Linked DNA regions of Drosophila melanogaster. The protein of the gene in region 4 interacts with the protein of the main gene of each other region in a pairwise test. Each region holds a gene or a part of one and is shown on either strand. Other genes may lie near its edges.

Region 1 (3,874 bases), 4.0 Mb from region 4:
AGTTTAGGTCCTCTGGTGCTGGCATTCCACTTGTATGCCTGCAGATGCTTGGAGAGATCAGGGACACATCTGTGCCCTATCTGGAGGAATGCCGTGCTATATATGCCGTTTAAATGCAGTACACCGCACTGATTGTTAACGAATTCTTTCGATGCAAAAAAAAAACTGGTCAAAGTTTTGGCTAGGGCTGTCAATAAGTCGATTAAATAATCGATAGCATCGATTTCTTGGCCCATCGCGAAAGTAAGCGCGAAATTTAAAAACCCAACGGATGTCTTCACCTTCGTCATTCAGAAGAGCATTCGTCATTCATAATTAATGTCGACAAAGGAGTGTACTTGGCATTGCAAATTAGTCAGGCACGTGAAAACACCATTTTTATTTTTAGCCTAATTTGTACGTGTTTTTGAGTGCTTTTAACCTCTCAAACAAACATTTTTGTTGTTTATTTTTAGAACCGCTTATAAACAATATACAACTATATGGCGGAGAAATGGCATTGTGTGAAAAACTTTAATTAGATCTAAGAATATCATTTAATATATTGTTTTTTAATGTGTTTTTATTGCACAGATAGCTATTAATAGCACTTGGAATCTTTCTTTAATAGGAAATCTACTATAGACACTGTTGAAACTAGCTTTAGCTGTAGTTTTTGTATAAAACCTAGTCTAAACTACATGTTTACTATGTTTACCTCTTTATTTCCCTTCCTGTGAAGCTTTCTTAGTCCACCCACCTGAATTGTTTACGCCTCTCACTCAAATCCAGGACTCTTCTCAATGGCTTGGGTGAGTTGCCCGGCGACGTGGCTGCCGCTCCATCATTTTCCTCCTCCAGAGAACTGGACACCGAGGTACTTGCCACCATTTGGAGGGCCAATTGGAGATCCTCCTCACGCATTTTTTGTTGTTTTTTTTTATTGGAAAAGTATGAAAAAAAAACCGAGTTTTGAGACGACAACCTCGTTGTTCCGGTGGCGAGATCCAACTAAGTGACTTCTCGTGCTTCGTTTTCCAAAATATATACAATGCATGCGCATATGTAATACTTGGCAGTGCGATCGGAGAGGTAAGTTGTTGAATAGATGCTATGCCCGCCTCGTACACTCGTACTTTGAATTCATTAAGAGCCTTCCGATATTTACATTTCCAGAGCAACTTTTTTCGAGCGGTCCATATTTTGGCGGCCCCGGGGCGTGGCCGATCTGGTATGAGATCGATTTATAAGCTATGCGTGGATTAATAGCCGGTGGCGCACTCTTAATAATATATGTCCGAAGGTAGCGCCAAGAATATAGGCCCATTTTTGCATTAACACCGATCGATTTTAAGTGGACCTGCGCCTGCCAATATTGTCGATACACATTTTCACATTTTTATATGCCATTTGCATATTCCGTTTGTCCATTTTATATAAGAAATATTTTGTCGCTTTAAATTTGTATTTATGACCAAGGTGAATTCTCAGGGGTGTCAGGAACTACTGATCAAGTAGGGATTTCTTTATTAATAATAATTGTTTGTTTATTGCATTTTTGGGTTTAAGTGTGTAAAGTGGTAAAATTTCATACATTTTTGATTTCATTTTGGTAATATTGATGCTATTTAAATATTTATTTATTACTTGCACCGATTTCCTTCTTAATTTATTTTTAAGTATTTTAGTTATATAAAGAGATTTTCTTTGGATTTAATGTAAATAATTTTTTACATGAATGAATCCGAGCTTACATCTATTCTACATCCGACTTGACTGTTGCATTCTACAGCTGCGCTGCGGTCACACTAAGCGGCAACACCGGGTGGAATCGATAAACAATTACTATCGAACACACATCGATTGTTGAGAGAGCTGTGAAGCCGACGATTTTACGTCAAAAGCGGAATAAGTTTATTTAACGTACGAAAAAGCTAAGCATAATGTCAGCAAAGGCAGCCTTACCACTGCAGATGTTTGGCCGGCGACTCGTCCACCTGAGGTCATCGGTCACTTCTCAAAATATGAGGTAATTCCGGTTGCATTGCTTCCTCTTATCTGTGACGTAATGAGGGCGCACGTTTGTCGTTTCGCATGTAATTCTAACATTGCCTCCCGTCTCACTCCCAATCGTCTACCACACAACCAGTGCCCTGCGTTTGTACAGCACAGAGAAACAGCCGGAAGAAGCGACAGAGCAGAAGGCCACCGAATCGTCGCCAGAAGTTGAGAAACTCACCAAGGAACTGGCCGCCGCCAAGGAGCAGAATGCCGAGCTAATGGACAAATACAAGCGTTCGCTAGCCGACAGCGAAAACATGAGGAACCGACTGAACAAACAGATCAGCGACGCCAAGATCTTTGGCATCCAGAGCTTCTGCAAGGATCTGCTCGAGGTGGCGGACACACTGGGACATGCCACACAGGCGGTGCCCAAGGATAAGGTACAAACTATCTTATCTTAAGATTTAAGGTTTAAGGTATCTTAAGGATTCAGACTCGCAATGAAGTTGCATATGTTGAGATAAGAATTTCGTAATTATTTGTTGCCAATACTTGAAAATCTTCATAGCATTTTAAGGTGTATTTTCCCGATCTTTCCATTTCTATCTGAGAGATAACAAACCCGATTGCATTACATACATCTAATTGTACATATAGATTTGTTGGGGTATTTTAAATTGAGATATTTGGATAACTTGTTAGCCATTTTAGACTTAATAGATAGTTTAATCGTTTTGCATTAACATTCTTAAAGCTACCCTTACTAATGATCTTAATTATTGCAGCTCAGCGGCAATGCTGATTTGAAGAACCTGTACGAGGGCCTCACCATGACGCGCGCCTCGCTGCTGCAGGTGTTCAAGCGACACGGACTGGAGCCACTGGATCCCATCAACCAGAAGTTCGACCCCAATCAGCACGAGGCGCTGTTCCAGAAGGAGGACAAGACCGTCGAGCCCAACACCGTGGTGGAGGTGACCAAGCTGGGCTACAAACTGCACGAGCGTTGCATACGTCCGGCCTTGGTGGGCGTGTCGAAGTGTTGATAGCCATGCGGCTGCCCAGAGGCATGTAAAATTCCCAGTACTCCCCCCCCCCCCCTAAACCAATTTACATGGCGTGTGTCTCTCAATTGTTTGCAATTTGTTTTCCGCTGCAAAATTCATGTACGTAAACCCTGTGTAAATACAACCTATCCCACAAACGCATCCTTCGGGCAAAGCTTGCGAATTTAGAATTCCTCCTAGTTTCTAAGAGATCTGTGACTGGATTTGATGGCCACAATTTGTACCATACGCGTGGCCATCGAGTGTTCCACTTTAAGGTTTAATTACGATAATAAAACATGTTTTAGTTTGTTGAAATATACCACGGAAATTTGTATTTCATCCTCATCTGGAGGAGACTCTGTTTATCTAGGTCTCTTTTTAGTTTCCTTTGATTTTCCCCGTTTTCCTTAGCCCTTGAAATTCGAATCCCTCATGAAAAACCATTTCTTTTGTTAACAAAAACCAGGTAGCGAAGCGTAATCGCATTCCTGCTCGTCGCGTAGGTGGAAAATTCAATGGAAATGCGTGATTTTCTATGACCCAGCAGGTAGGCTTCCAAGCACGTTCCCATGAATTCAGAGGTAGCACAGATGGTGGGTTCCCTAAAACGAGATTTGCGCCAGAGTTGAAAGTCTACTTCAAACGGTTTTGAACTATCTCGTTGGTTAGTTGTCCTTAAACATTTGAAGTGAACGGTATGATTGGTGTGCTAATGCGTTTTCTCTGGTCCTTGGCCATGGTGCAGTGCATCCAGGCTAGAGTGTCGATGCTGCCTCGTTTTTATGGACAAGACAGCGCTGTTATAGTGGACATCAATAGAAAATTCCCACCTAGAATGGACT
Region 2 (3,239 bases), on a different chromosome or scaffold from region 4:
TAGGAGTACGTTTCGTTATACATCTTAATCCTTTCAAGCAAACACACCGTAATTGCACGCAGCTGTCCGTCGGCGTCACGAAGCGGATTCTTTGGATCCTCAGAGAACAGGCGCATGTTCTCAATGGCCATCTGAAAAGAAGGTGAACGATAGTGAGTATTTACTGAGAAAGCTTTATATTCTCAAATATAATGTATTTGGTATGATTGCACCTATCAATATTCTAAAGCATAATTTCAAATAAGTGTTCTTTAAACCAAAAAAAATCATGTTTAAGTATTTCGAAACATCTAAAGTCGATCTAATAAGATAATTTCTATCCCATTTGATTTGATAACTCATTAAATCCAATCTAAATGTAGGTATAATATAAAAAAATCCCACACACATCTTTAATAGTACATTTAAATAAAAAAAATACATGAAATGAAATCGATCTCCACAGCTTTCGGGCAGCTTCTGGGAACCCACCAAATACGATCGCGTCTCATCGTTGGGATCGCCGCCCTTGTGCTCGCACTCGTGCAGCAGCTTGTCGCTGAGCTCCAGTTCGATGGCGTTGTCTTCCCGCTGGCTCCACTGCATCAGCGATACGACCTCCTTGTAGACCGTCTCCGCTTTGGGGGCGGGGGCATAAGGATCAAAAGGAGGCAGGGCGAGGATCGTGTGCAGCGTGTTGATGATGTTGCCGTCGGGAAAGCTGAGCCGCTCCAGGAGCTGGCATGGCGGTGAGCTGCTCCGCGCCGGCTTCGCCTGTTGGACACCAGCAGGCGGTGGCGACGGATTCAGCTGGGAAGCGGTGGCGACGCAGGAGGAGGACGCTGTGGCATCCACATCGCCCTCCGCATCCGCATCTACATCTACGTCCATGGAGGACAGAGACATCACATGGCAGCAGGAAGGCGGCGCCTCCTCCATTGGCAGTTCGCCATTGACCAGCGGCTCATCTGCATCCGTTTCTTTGGTGTGCGCCACCTGATCGGCCATTTCTGGCGGGGCTTTCACGCGGTGGATGGGTCAATGAGCCCAGCCAACTCAGTCAGTCCCCGGCTCCGGATCACTTGTTAGTCTTTGGTGCTTCTGCTGGCCAAATCCGCGTATGCGCGACGCATTATTATATACGAAATCACAGATGTAGATGCACTTTCACTCGCTCACTGTATGCGCGCGCGTGTCTGTGTGTGTGCGCTGGTGTGTCGGTGTGCAAGTGTATAAGTGTGGGTATTGGATTGGTTTGGTTTTTGGAATCGAAATCGGTTTTGGAAAAGAACGCAGAGCAGCACAACGCAACGCGCTTTGCCCCTCGAATCGCGCCAAGTGCGCCTCTGCTTTCATCAGCGTTTCACTGCAGGGCCATCCGTTTGGATTTTCCGGGACCCGACTTTCCGTTGCCTCGCAGTTTCCGTTTCGTTTGCACCCACGATTGTTGTGATTTTCCGCTTTTTGTGATTTTTCGCCTGCTCGTTGCAATTCGCTCGTTTCTCGTTGATTGCATTCGCATCGGTGTGCCCGTGGCGGCCTTCGCTCAAATTACCGCAACGCCGCGCAAGAGTCACGAATAAATGGTCATACCCCGTGCACACTTGTTTGGCCGAAAAGTTTTCTACATCTATCCCAAAGAACAAACACAAACTTTTATTTATATGAGCTTTACTTTACTTCTGTGTGGTCCATTCTTAGAAAACTATACTAATGCGTTCTTAAAAATTTGATTTGGGAAATGTTAAAAAAGCATTTTAAGCCATACAAAAATTGTAAAACCATAGGAATGTATGTTTCATATACTTTTTTCAACATATATTGTAGGTAAAACAAATCATCATGTATTTATACAGAAAAAGGTCCCAAAGATCTAAAAATTTCCTATTCTGTCTATGGAATAAACACATTTATAATGCAAGAAAATATATTTTACAGTAAATTCTTTCAATTCGATAGTGGGCCAAATGTCGTACAGAATATATCCGTGTCCCTTCGATGTGTTGACAACCCTGACCGAATTTCGTAATTTCGAAACGAACGAATTCAGCCGGCGAAGTGGAGAAGAAAATGTCCGCATCGACGGACCAGGATCCCGTGGAACTAATGCTGAAGAAGACCGGCTGCATAGAGCTTCACTACAAGGTGCAGGAGTGTATCGCCGAGACGGGCGACTGGAGGGCTTGCCAGGAGAAGGTGAAAGAGTTCCGGGCGTGCATGCAGAAGTACGTGGAGCAGCAGAGCCAGAAGTATGCCCACGTCAAGTAGCATCCTGCAGAAGTTCCTCAGCAACGGTTTGGCCTTCGGCAAGTCCACCAAACTGGCGCTGGTGGTCCGAACCGACCTAAAGATGTCCAAGGGAAAGACAGCGGCCCAGTGCGCCCATGCGGCGGTCATGTGCTACCAGAGCTCTGTGCAGGGAACCAAGCTGCAGAACGCCATTCTGCAGCGTTGGTGTCGCCTGGGACAGCCGAAGATAGTGCTGCGCGTGGACAACTTCGAGCAGCTAAACTCCCTGGAGCGACAGGCCCAAGAGTCGAACGTGGTGGCCGCCTTGGTGAGGGATGCCGGGCGCACTCAGCTGGAATCTGGGACAGCAACGGTCCTCGGACTGGGTCCAGCCCCTGCCGAAGATCTAGACAAATTGGTGGCGCATTTGAAGCTTTTGTGAACTCTTAGGTTTATGCAACGTTACAAATAAAGTACAAGTAATCAACAAGTGCTCAAGCGGCGGTCTTCTTGCCCTTGGAAACTGTAGATATAGTAAGGGACACTGCTTGGCCGAACATCTCCACCAGGTCTGATGTAACTCGCTCCGTGATCTGCCGCAGCTTGCCATTACCCTCGCCACAGATTAGGCGCTCGATTCGCGTGGTGGGGCACTGAACCTGCACGGATGTGTAGACAACATCTGCAAAGAAAATCGGAATTGAAAAGGATTTCTTTACGAGTGTACAGAAGTACTCACTTTTTTCCACACTGTAGTACTCGATCTCGCACTTAAGGTTGTAGGGTATCTCCTGCGGCAAGTAGTCCAGCAGACGAGCCCGCACACTCTCCACAATTAATGCTTCTGGGCTGGAGTCCGTATGAATGTCAGCTGGGTATTTCCAATCCCTGGGCTTAGCCTGGCCCACCAGGTAGTTCTGCATCTCCTGCAGCCCATTGCCGGTCAAGGCGGAAACAAGAAACACGTCGCTAAAATGGCTCCAGCTAGACTCCCGCTTGTTGATTCTTATTTCCTTGGCGAGAGCACTTTT
Region 3 (4,724 bases), on a different chromosome or scaffold from region 4:
GCAGCAATATCATCACAGCCCAGAATGGCGTTCTTGTGAGTGACGAACATGGTTAGGGCGGCACGAAAAACGATCTTGTAGCCCTCGGCAAAGACACAGTCCCATATACGTAGCACAGTCTCCACGGGCAGCACCTCGGCAAAGATGCAGATGAACCATTTGCTGGCGATCACCGGATAGGGCAGGCCTGGAATAAAAAATATGTTAGCAACTGGTTACGGACTTAGTTCTTTAAACTAAATCTTACCCAAGTTATCCACATGCCGATTTACAGCGGGAATTCGCCGGATGACCAATTCGCGGAACACGGCCAGATCCCTCAGCAGATTGGCCATATTATGGGAATGGTATTGCGGCACGATGTTTTCAACGATATGCTTGAGCAGCCAAAAGGACTTCTCCTCATCGTCGGTGACGATCAACAGGAGGCCGGCTATGTAGTTAAGACCTTGGCAGTAACCCACGTCCCGATTGTGATGGGCGTAGGCGATGAGAATGTTGTACAACCGCTGCTTCTTCATATCGAAGTGAATATTGTCGGGGAAGGTACGAGGTAGATCGATTGATATGGAATCGCTGATTTCTTTGTCGAAGGGCTCGGTGCGCAGAAGGTTGCGAAAGAGATCCGGCGAGCGACGCTGGGCGGCGGCAGCTCCAGATATCTTCATCCAGACGTCGGGACGGTATGGACCAGGAATGCCCTTCCGAATGTACCGCTTCAGCTTGGCGTCCACCTGGGTGAGATCGGTATTTTGCTGCAGAATGGCCTCCCATTTCATGCGGCGCCGCGTTAACGTTTTCAGGTAACCATCCATGAACTTTGAGTAGTTGTTATAGTCGAAGTGGTCGCCACGCTTGAAGCCATATTCGTCCACATCGCTAACCACGTGCGGTTTAGATGCGTAAAGATATGCGTAAGTGAAAATAATTACTATATAACTGAATGCTCACCTGAACTTTGAACTTGCGGTAGCATCCATATGAACTATTGACTAGAGTTTCAATTGCTCACAGTGAAGAAGTGTGGATTTCTTCGTCGTTGGCCACGATTTCCTGTCAGCCGTTCGTGGCTCGTGGCATGGCCCCAAAAAAAGATTTCGTATTCGGCGCACGTTGTGCGGTTACGTCGCTGCCTGCGCCTCTACCGCTTCTGCTGCAACTGCAACGGATTGAACCTGCTGCAAAAGTCAATAAATATTGCCTTTAACTGGGGGCCCTTCATTTATTTATAAGCCCATTTGGCCTTGGCTGGCACTACCTCTGCCTACGCCTCGTCCTTGAGCGATGGGTGGCCTTTTGTGCGCGCCCACTCGACGTTGTTGCTGCCTCCGCTGCTGAACTGATAACATTAACGGACCGACGACCGATTTGGGTGGGCGGCCAACGGACAGGTGACAAGGGGGTGGGCGTGGGCGAGTGCGTTGGCTCCGCTTAACGCGCGCTTGCAAATGGTCGATGGCGGATTATTTAAAAGTAGTGATTTCATTGAAGATTGCTGGTCCGCTTATCAGTGGGCTTGAGTTTGCATATTTTTGTTCTTACTGGTGAATAAAATTCGCGTCTTGTGGAAAGTGACCAGAGTCACGAACTGGGAAAACGGTAGAACGGTAAACTAGTTCCATTCTACGATGATTATGATGCGATACATCGAACTGCTTTGTTACATATCGCTTAAAATCGTGTCAATAGAAAATAAACGGTGGATGGCATTTAAAAAATCGGATTTGAAGCAAAAAAATTTAATGATTTCATTCGTTTATATCATCAAATGCAGAAAATAGATGACCTTACAAATTAATCTAATAGCAATACCGATATATCGTGACCACCCTCACACGTGACAGCTGTGAACATCTGTTGCACGAATCACCCACTGCTTTCATTCGTCGTCATGCGTCATTCAGTCGAACCGTGCTGTGACAAATTACGCAATGTCTAACAACTGATGTAAAACAAGCAATTTACCAAACAGTTGGCCAAATTCCGTGTGTACACACACTCCGATCGACCCAGCGAGGCACTTTAACCAGCTCCTGACCACTTCGAGATGCTGCGCAAAACGGCAACGATGGGAATCATGGCGGCGGTTGCCGTTAAAGCGGCTCCCGAGCCCCAGAAACCAGCCTCCAGTGCGGCGGACTGCAGCCTGGTGTGCCGGCCCAGCGAGCTGCCCATCTACGGCAGCTTGCGCAAGACAGAGTGAGTGCCCCAATGCAAGAAAAAGGTCCCAGCCTTAACGATACTCCTTTAATGCTACCGCAGACCCAAGCCAGAACGGCATCCACCACAAGACTCTGTGCTGCACAAGAACCTGGAGGCCGGAGTCCGCTATGTGCGCGAGGAGGTGCAGTCTGGATATAAGGCAGTGGCCGATCAAGCCGGCATTGTCGGCCATTACGTGGAAACCGCTAAGGCACACACCCAGTCCACCATCGACATGCTGAACGAGCCCCAGAACTCCCTGCACCGCAGCGGAGCCATTGTGGTGGGCGGTCTGGCTGGTTTCATCTTCGCCGCCCGTGGAGGCTTCATAAAGAAGGTGTTGTATTCGGGCATCGGAGCAGGTGCAGTCGCCTCCATGTGCTACCCCCGCCAGGCGGAAGAAAACTGCCGCGTGGTACTCTACGAGGGCCGTAAGATCTTCGCCGTGGCCTACAACTTCATCAAGGGCGTAAAGCCAGGAGAGGATGTTCCCGTAGTGCCCTTCCCTACCTCGCTGGAGGACCTTAAGTACATGGCCAGTGACCTGTACGATGAGGCAAAGGATCTAATCTTCCCCAAAAAGAAGTAGGAAGTGCCCTCCCGCTAAAGGAAACTCCTAGTCCACCTCCATCCGGGCGAAAAGTGTGCATCGATTTAAGTTGTATGAAGCTTGAATTCTATCCGAAAGTAGTTATCTCTTTTCTTGTTGCCAGAAATAAATTGGCCTCGCGTCCCAAAAGTGAAACGGCGGTTTAACTTGGCAAATGTGTGTGGGCCGTGGCCAGAACCCGCTCTCACATGAATCTTCGAGTGATTAATTGAGGTGTTGGTGTCAAGTCAAATGTCACGCCAGTGAGCTGTTGAAAAGTGAAATCCGGAGGAAAGTGTCGGCTGCGGATGTCTCCCATCCTCCATCTCCCCACGTGCAAAACCGATTGTGCCAATCATCATCGTCAATGACCATGGCCCGCAGCCGAACATGGCGATGACTACAAATTGTGTGAATGGTCTTGGCCATCCATTTGCGGTGCCCTCGGGGGCTGCTATTGCTGAGGAGGAAATCGGCTCTTATAGCGATGGGTATCTCGAGCGGACCAATTCTCCGATTGCGGCATTATTTATTAGACAATATTTTCATTAATCTTTTATTGCTCTCGAGCTTTCGCATCGCTATAGATAGACTTGTTCTTTGGGCAAGATACAAACAACGTTCGGATGTCTGCATGCATTTGTTTACAATAAATATAGATTTAGTTAATTGTTAAATATTACTACACTAAAATACCAACAACTTGTGGACATGCAAATGACTCCCAATCCCCCCTACCCCTCCCAAGCCCCCTATCCCTTCGGCTATGTACAAATAGATAATCCCATTCGAAATCCGACCGATTTCCTTGTTAGACAACTTACGGTGCTAACATTTCGCTAGACTAAATTAGTGGGCGTTGACTGTGTGTGTGTGTGTGTAGGTGAATGGGTGAGTGCGGATAGGGGCGTGGCAGTGGCCCACAAGGCCATGATGTTAAAATTGTTAAATTGAAGCTAACTACGCTTAACATTCCTTTAAGATAAATCACACAAAACTTATAGATACAACTGATAAATTAAAACAAATAACAAAAGTAGATCTGCCGTCGTCAGTATCTTCTGATCATCATCTGACATGCTCCAGTATCCACGGCGTAAACTTGGAGATTCTCGTACAGACTCCGGGCAAATTGGCCTCGGCACAGCCAATGCCCCAGGAGATGATCCCGGCCAGAAAGAAGCGCCCATCCTGCGACTTGGCCTGCAAAATGTTTATTAGCATATATCTCGTAGGTTTGCTTTATCCGGCATCTCACCTGCAGTGGACCTCCTGAATCGCCCTGACAGGAGTCCTGCCCTCCCGTTTCATAGCCCGCGCACAGGAATATATCCGGAATGAACTCCTGGCGACCAGCTCGCATGAACATCGATTTGCAATTATCGTTACTTACAATCGGCACGGAGACCTATTAAAATGTATTAGATTACATTTGTGTCTTGCATTTAACTTTATTTTTAGATTTATGATATATATCTTTTGATTCACGTTGGAAATCCCTTTTATGATCTCTCTGACTTTTCCTAATTGCAATCGCCCCATTTAGAACCACACCGACAATTTTTTGCGTTCGATTCGCAGCGGTTATCATTGTCGCTGAATTCTAAAAATGAAGCTTAAAGTCGTGTTAACACTCACCTCTTGGAGGACGGAGGGCAGGGTGCCGCCCTCGCTGAGACGACCCCAGCCGGTGACCGTGGCGTTCATGCCAATTAGGAGGCTGTCCGTCTCGGGCAGGCAAATGGGACTGACATGCGGCGCGAATTCGAGCGGCTGCTCCAGCTTGACCAGCGCCAGGTCGTATTCGTACGTGAGGAAGCTATACTTGGGATGCACCACCTTCTTGGCCACCCCGCGCTCTATGTAGGGCAGCTGTTCCTGCACATGCGAGAAGTCGTACTCGCCCACGCGGATGCGTATCTGCGAGATGAGC
Region 4 (5,441 bases):
CCTTACATATTCTACAATTTTCTTTGGCCTTCAGGATTTGGTGTAGAGCGTTTGCGAGACAACATCATGGATACTTATTGGCAGTCGGACGGTCAGCTTCCCCACCTGGTCAACATTCAATTCCACAAGCGTACGAACATCAGTCAGATTTACATATACACGGATTACAAGCTGGACGAGAGTTACACGCCATCAAGGATCTCCATACGATCTGGAACGAACTTCAACGACTTGCAGGAGCTGCAGGTGATGGACCTGACCGAACCCACCGGCTGGGTGCAGATACCCATTAAGGATGGGAACGTCAAGTCCATACGCACCTTCATGCTTCAGATTGCTGTGATCTCGAACCACCAGAATGGCAGGGACACCCACATGCGCCAGATCCGCATCCATGCGCCCGTCGAGGGCAAGCACTATCCTCTGGAACTGTTTGGCAAGTTTGGAACGGTCGACTTTCAGAAGTTCGCCACCATTCGTTAGGGAAAACTTTGGGATTTATCGAAGTCTTTTATTTTTATGTATTTTTCGGGGTATATAACTGCTAAAATACAACATTTAAAACATTACTTTAGTAATTTTATGCATATTTTTGGTGTTTCTAATTAAATGCCCGTCACTTGTATATATATAATTCGAATGCAAATAAATATATACCGTCGTCTAAGCTTAAGTACAAATTAACAAACACAGTGGAAGTGTAAGAGTTATTATTGTTACTGTTTTATCGCGATACAAATGCAAAATGTGAAAATGGAACGCCAACGAAAGAGTGCGAGAATTATTGCATCGTTTTGTATTGTATTGCACTATCTCGAGGATTGTCGTTAATGATTGGTGATTATGTGTTCGATTTCCTTGCAGCTTTCAACGTCTTGTAGTGATCCTTCTCCTCGCCGGTCTCGGGTGGCTCGCTTTCGTAGGAGGCCTTCATCAAAAGATCCTCGCTCAGCACCTCCGCCTTCAACAGGTAGGACACCACACTAGGCAACTGCTCGTATGGACAGTCCAATCGCTGCCATTTGCCAAAATTCCGCAGCTGGGTGCCCAAATGAAGGCACTTCTCAAAGTTTATGTATCCGTTGGCCAATCTGCAAACGGATTTGAATTCGGTTAATCTCGAAACAGAGCTCATTTATGCACAAACAAACTCACTTTGTTTCATGGCTCTCGTTAATGGCATGCAAATCTTTGAGGAACAGCGAGAAGAATGGGATGATGGCACGCTCAATTTCGTTGGCCATTTCCCTTTCCGAACGCCAAACAGCTGCCTTCATGGTGGATCTGTAGTTAAGAAAGTTCGAACTGGGATCCATTTGATGCTCCAAACCCTCGAACTTTGTCGTCTGCACTTTGGCCCACTATAAAAAATAGTAGTAAAATCAGACTTCACTCGTTTTACTTAACGAAAACTCACCGTTTTCTTTAGGCGAGCTATGGCAGTAAGATTCAATGCTGTTAGAATGGCCATCAAGCTGTTGAAGTTGCCTGTGTTAAAGCATTCCAGAGCTGTTTCCACCCAGAAGTCGATCATTTGTGCTCTCTGGGACTTTTTGCCCAACTAGGAACGAACGAATCATATTTTTTATTTGATTAATGGTTAATTTTTTTTTTAGTACTCACCTTTAATATTTCCGTTGCAGTCAAGTAGCTTAGCTGGTTGAACCACTGCACGTAACTGTCGATTGTCACCTGGCTGATGCAATTCGAACCCAAGGTGCCCGCCTTGGTTTGGCTTATGCAGGTCTTCAGCTCATCCTTTTCGAGGATTTCCACAAACTCCTCAAGACGTATTTGTGACAGATAGGCGTACTCGATGGCATAAAGTTGGTGAGCCAACTCGAAGGCACTGCTGCAGTTGTTTAGCACATTGTCTGTTTTGTAGACATTGGCGGCAAAGCGTTTCAGCGACTTAATACTGCTCTGACGTCCCAACGAGCTGGCCGACGATTGCTTGGTAAGCAGGTTATTTAGTTGACTTCGTCCATTTTCGTCCTTTTGCGCCAAAGCTTGGGGAATTCCATCCAAAAAAGCTGCCAATCCTTTTACATTACGCTTATTTTCCAGCTCCTGCAATAGCAGTTCATGGCTAAAGTCCCCGGGACAGGTGTCTAGCCATTCGTTCAAAAGTCGTAACACGTTTTCCTCCTCATTATCAATCTTGGCAATGATTTTGGAAAGCAGCTGGTGTGGTGGTGAAAACAAGCGGGAAGTGGTCAGAAAGGCAAACCGCAAATCCTTAGTATTATTATTGATAAGCAGGTTGACCACCGAATCCAGGTTGCCCTTCTTGGGTATGTCTTTGGCGTAAACTGGCGCTGTTTGGCAATCGAATGGCTCTGTGATCTTCAAGTGGGTGTTCTAATTTAGGTAAATTATTAGTTATTTAGCGACTGGCAAATCCGTTCAAACTTACTAGGATAGAAACCGCATCCGACTCATCTGCGGAGCTGGGAATGTCGCAGTACAAAGAGTCGGTTAAGGTGTCACGTGGATGTGACCAGGGTGCACTCATCGACACGCTGTGGAAGAGGCCATCGTGCCCGGAGTCGCAGCTGCTTATATTCGAGCTTTTGTCCCCAATAGTGGTGGATGATACAGATCCGATGACCTGATCGGATCCAGTAATAGCAGAGCTGCTGGACATAAGGGAAGCATTCGAGAAGGTTTGGTTCAGCTGCCGGCCCAAAGGATCAACTGGACGCTCGTCCGAGTCTGTGGCCTGCGATGCGAACGTGGAATTCGAAGTGGTTCGGTATTTGAGGGCATTCTCGGGAGTGGCACGCGCCAAGGCCGACTGCTGCTTGACAGGATGCCAGATCTCTTTCTGGTGCGACTGATGGTTAAAGTTTTCCTTGGTCTCCACGGTGCGTTCGTCTAGGATTTGTCCGTTGCGCGAGACCAGCACCTCCTCCGTGGTGGTCAGAGAGGACTTGACGGTCAACGAGGTCTCTACCTCGATGGGCTGTTGGGCCAATCCGGCGCGGAAGAGCAATTGATTCAGGTGCTCAACCGATGGCATCTGCCCCTCCAGCAAAGCTGCCTTTATGGCACTGGCATCATCCGCCGGCAGCCCATCCAGCTTCACCGGCACTCCGTTGACCAGCAACACCTCCTCCTGCTGCAGCGAGGATGAGGTTTCGCAGTCCACGATCTTGACATCCTTGCCGAACAGGGACTCCACAGCGTTTAGGATATCTTCGTCCATGCTTGGGGCGGGGTTATCGGGGATGGGGAAAGTGCAGACACACGGGGATCTCTGGAGAAACGTGACTATTTGGCTGCGATGGTTGTTAAATGCGTTATGACCACAGGGGGACTCTTTGGATTAGTCGCAATGCACATGCACCACTATCGCGTACATTTCTGGAAAGGAAGGGGCAAGGGGAAACCTCGATTAGCACACACACAGTGGGAGAAAGACAGGTGGCCGGGGGCTTTGGTTTCGTGCGCTCTGGTGACAACGCCCACTTTCCCAAAAGTGGGCTGGTCTCTTCTGATCAGAACATCGCTTCCGGAGCAGACACACCTGCAGGAACACTGTTGCGCGGTGGCCTTCCATCGGACGCACTGCCGCCTTTCGTCACGGCATTCCCCGCCTGCTGCTCATCAAATGTCCGCCGTTTTTTCTGCGCCTAATATAGTTTAATTCGCCAATTGACTTAATTTATTTCTATTATTGTTGTCTCGGTACAGCGATACCATCGATGTTTACACAAATTTGGCAATAATCGATATCCCCAACTGGGGAAATCATCGATTACTTGCTTTCTTGCTGTAAATATCCGCATCTGGCAACGCTTTTAACAGGTTTTAAAATGTCAAGCGTTATTTCCGTTACTATCCCCAAACATTTTTTTAATTTACCCGAATATCTAGATCTTCTTGTTTGGACATAAAGGTCTGGTTATTGTTCACATCAAATTGCTGAACTCCTCTAAAGTTCGTTTAGTGCCCAATTAACCCGTGAATAGTTTTAAATTTCCAAAAGATTCTTGTTTATTCCTCTTTAATTTGTTATCTGTAAATATTTAAGCAAAGCAATGCATTGCATTACTTTCGTTTAACTACTCTAATTTAGCAGCATTATAATTAAGAAAAGACTTTTATTTAAGAAATGGACGCAACCAACGCCAAGTCCACATCACAAACTGCACAGTAAATTTTGCCATAAATTTCGGATTCCCCGCTTAAACCACGGGATAGGAGCACTCCTCAGCAATGAAGCAGTAGTTTTTGCCGCGAGGCAGGCGGAAGTAGCCCTTTTCGCCCCAGGTGTCGTCCCAGGAGTTCTTGACGATCCAGTAATCCTGTCCTTTCTCCGATCCGTAACCGACGACCAGAATGGAGTGGTTCGGCTCGCCCTTGTTGCACTCATCGTCGTTATAGATGCCACCGGCGTAGTTCTTAAGAGTCTCCAAACCATTCACCGAACAGGCAACTGGTCCCAGAGTGGCCACCACCTTCTTCAGCTGCTCCTCGTCCTTGGGCGGAATAGCGGCGAATCCCTGGAGGGTGGCTCCGGACTTGCTGCCATCGTACTTGCACGTGCCCTTGTTGTCAATGTAGGGATAGGCCCCCTCCTGGGACACACCCTTTTGCACCTCATCGATGAAACAGAATGCGGCCTCCTGGAAGCCACCATCGCAGCCATTCAGGCCAAAGTCCTCCACCGGACCACAGTCGACCAGATTCTGCTCAGAGAGATTGGGCAGGCTGCCGGTCTTGCGGAAGGTGTGTCCCTCAATGGCACCAGTGGTGGCAAAGGCCCAACAGGAGCCACAGGTACCCTGGAATTTGACTGGTGTGACACCGCCATGCTCGCGCCAATCGAAGGCATCCGGGATGGGCTTCGCAGGCAGGTTGACCAACTTCAAACTGGCAGCAGCTCGAGCCCTGGGTGCAGATATAGAATTGATAAAATCCTATGCCGGCTGTGCAAATGGTTTGTTAGCACTTACTTAGCCTCCGGACTTCTCTTCAGACCGGTCAATTGACTAAGGAACTCAGAGTGGGTCAGATCGGCGAAGGCGTTCACGGCCTGCTTGAAGGTGTGCACTCCTTGGGCAAAGGCTGCGTTTCCGGCTTCCACCAGGTTCTTGGTGGAAGCGAAGGCACCTTCATGAAGAGCGCGATCAGCGGCGGAGAGATAGGTCTTTCCAGATTGGCTCTGCAAATCGGTTGAAGTTTTACTTCTACCTTTGAAATTGATCAATGCTGCCTATCTCACCAAGAAGTCACCAAAGTCCTGGACGTTTGAGAGCAGCGGCACCTTGGGCACAGCCTTGGCAATGTTGCCCACGGCATTCTGAACGGCGCCGGCCACATTTTGTAAAGCTCCACCCACTCGATTGTTGCCCAAGCCTCCGAGTCCACCTCCAAATCCGCCTCCGAGTCCACCTCCAAATCCGCCTCCAAATCCACCGCCTCCGAATCCCTGG

Evidence for each region.
Region 1: the proteins of CG4853 (region 4) and Roe1 interact in a two-hybrid assay, tested with the Drosophila melanogaster proteins (one large-scale study listed by BioGRID).
Region 2: the proteins of CG4853 (region 4) and CG17327 interact in a two-hybrid assay, tested with the Drosophila melanogaster proteins (one large-scale study listed by BioGRID).
Region 3: the proteins of CG4853 (region 4) and Mic26-27 interact in a two-hybrid assay, tested with the Drosophila melanogaster proteins (one large-scale study listed by BioGRID).

The regions. Positions count from the first base shown.
Region 1 is NT_033778.4:13,552,259-13,556,132, forward strand, and holds Roe1 (Roe1), read left to right. Parts: upstream 1-1,818; 5' UTR 1,819-1,922; coding exon 1,923-2,008; intron 2,009-2,128; coding exon 2,129-2,423; intron 2,424-2,768; coding exon 2,769-3,029; 3' UTR 3,030-3,348; downstream 3,349-3,874. Other genes in the region: link, read left to right, coding at 3,730-3,874. UniProt on the Drosophila melanogaster protein: Essential component of the PAM complex, a complex required for the translocation of transit peptide-containing proteins from the inner membrane into the mitochondrial matrix in an ATP-dependent manner.
Region 2 is NT_033777.3:12,996,333-12,999,571, reverse strand, and holds CG17327 (uncharacterized protein), read left to right. Parts: upstream 1-1,845; 5' UTR 1,846-2,049; coding exon of another isoform or gene 2,050-2,230; coding exon 2,231-2,650; 3' UTR 2,651-2,696; downstream 2,697-3,239. Other genes in the region: CG7518 (uncharacterized protein), read right to left, coding at 48-131, 472-987; CG44194 (uncharacterized protein), read left to right, coding at 2,050-2,247; CG7488 (uncharacterized protein), read right to left, coding at 2,703-2,890, 2,948-3,239.
Region 3 is NT_033777.3:16,143,898-16,148,621, reverse strand, and holds Mic26-27 (MICOS subunit 26/27), read left to right. Parts: upstream 1-1,766; 5' UTR 1,767-2,047; coding exon 2,048-2,199; intron 2,200-2,262; coding exon 2,263-2,791; 3' UTR 2,792-3,859; coding exon of another isoform or gene 3,860-3,994; 3' UTR 3,995-4,049; coding exon of another isoform or gene 4,050-4,199; 3' UTR 4,200-4,221; downstream 4,222-4,724. Other genes in the region: CG5916 (uncharacterized protein), read right to left, coding at 1-187, 248-879, 952-980; Sb (stubble), read right to left, coding at 3,860-3,994, 4,050-4,199, 4,430-4,724.
Region 4 is NT_033778.4:17,512,505-17,517,945, reverse strand, and holds CG4853 (uncharacterized protein), read right to left. Parts: upstream 3,730-5,441; 5' UTR 3,530-3,729; exon of another isoform or gene 3,367-3,529; 5' UTR 3,209-3,366; coding exon 2,417-3,208; intron 2,362-2,416; coding exon 1,624-2,361; intron 1,562-1,623; coding exon 1,418-1,561; intron 1,362-1,417; coding exon 1,156-1,361; intron 1,092-1,155; coding exon 842-1,091; 3' UTR 501-841; downstream 1-500. Other genes in the region: APC10 (anaphase promoting complex subunit 10), read left to right, coding at 35-483; CtsK2 (cathepsin K2), read right to left, coding at 4,191-4,896, 4,962-5,170, 5,231-5,441.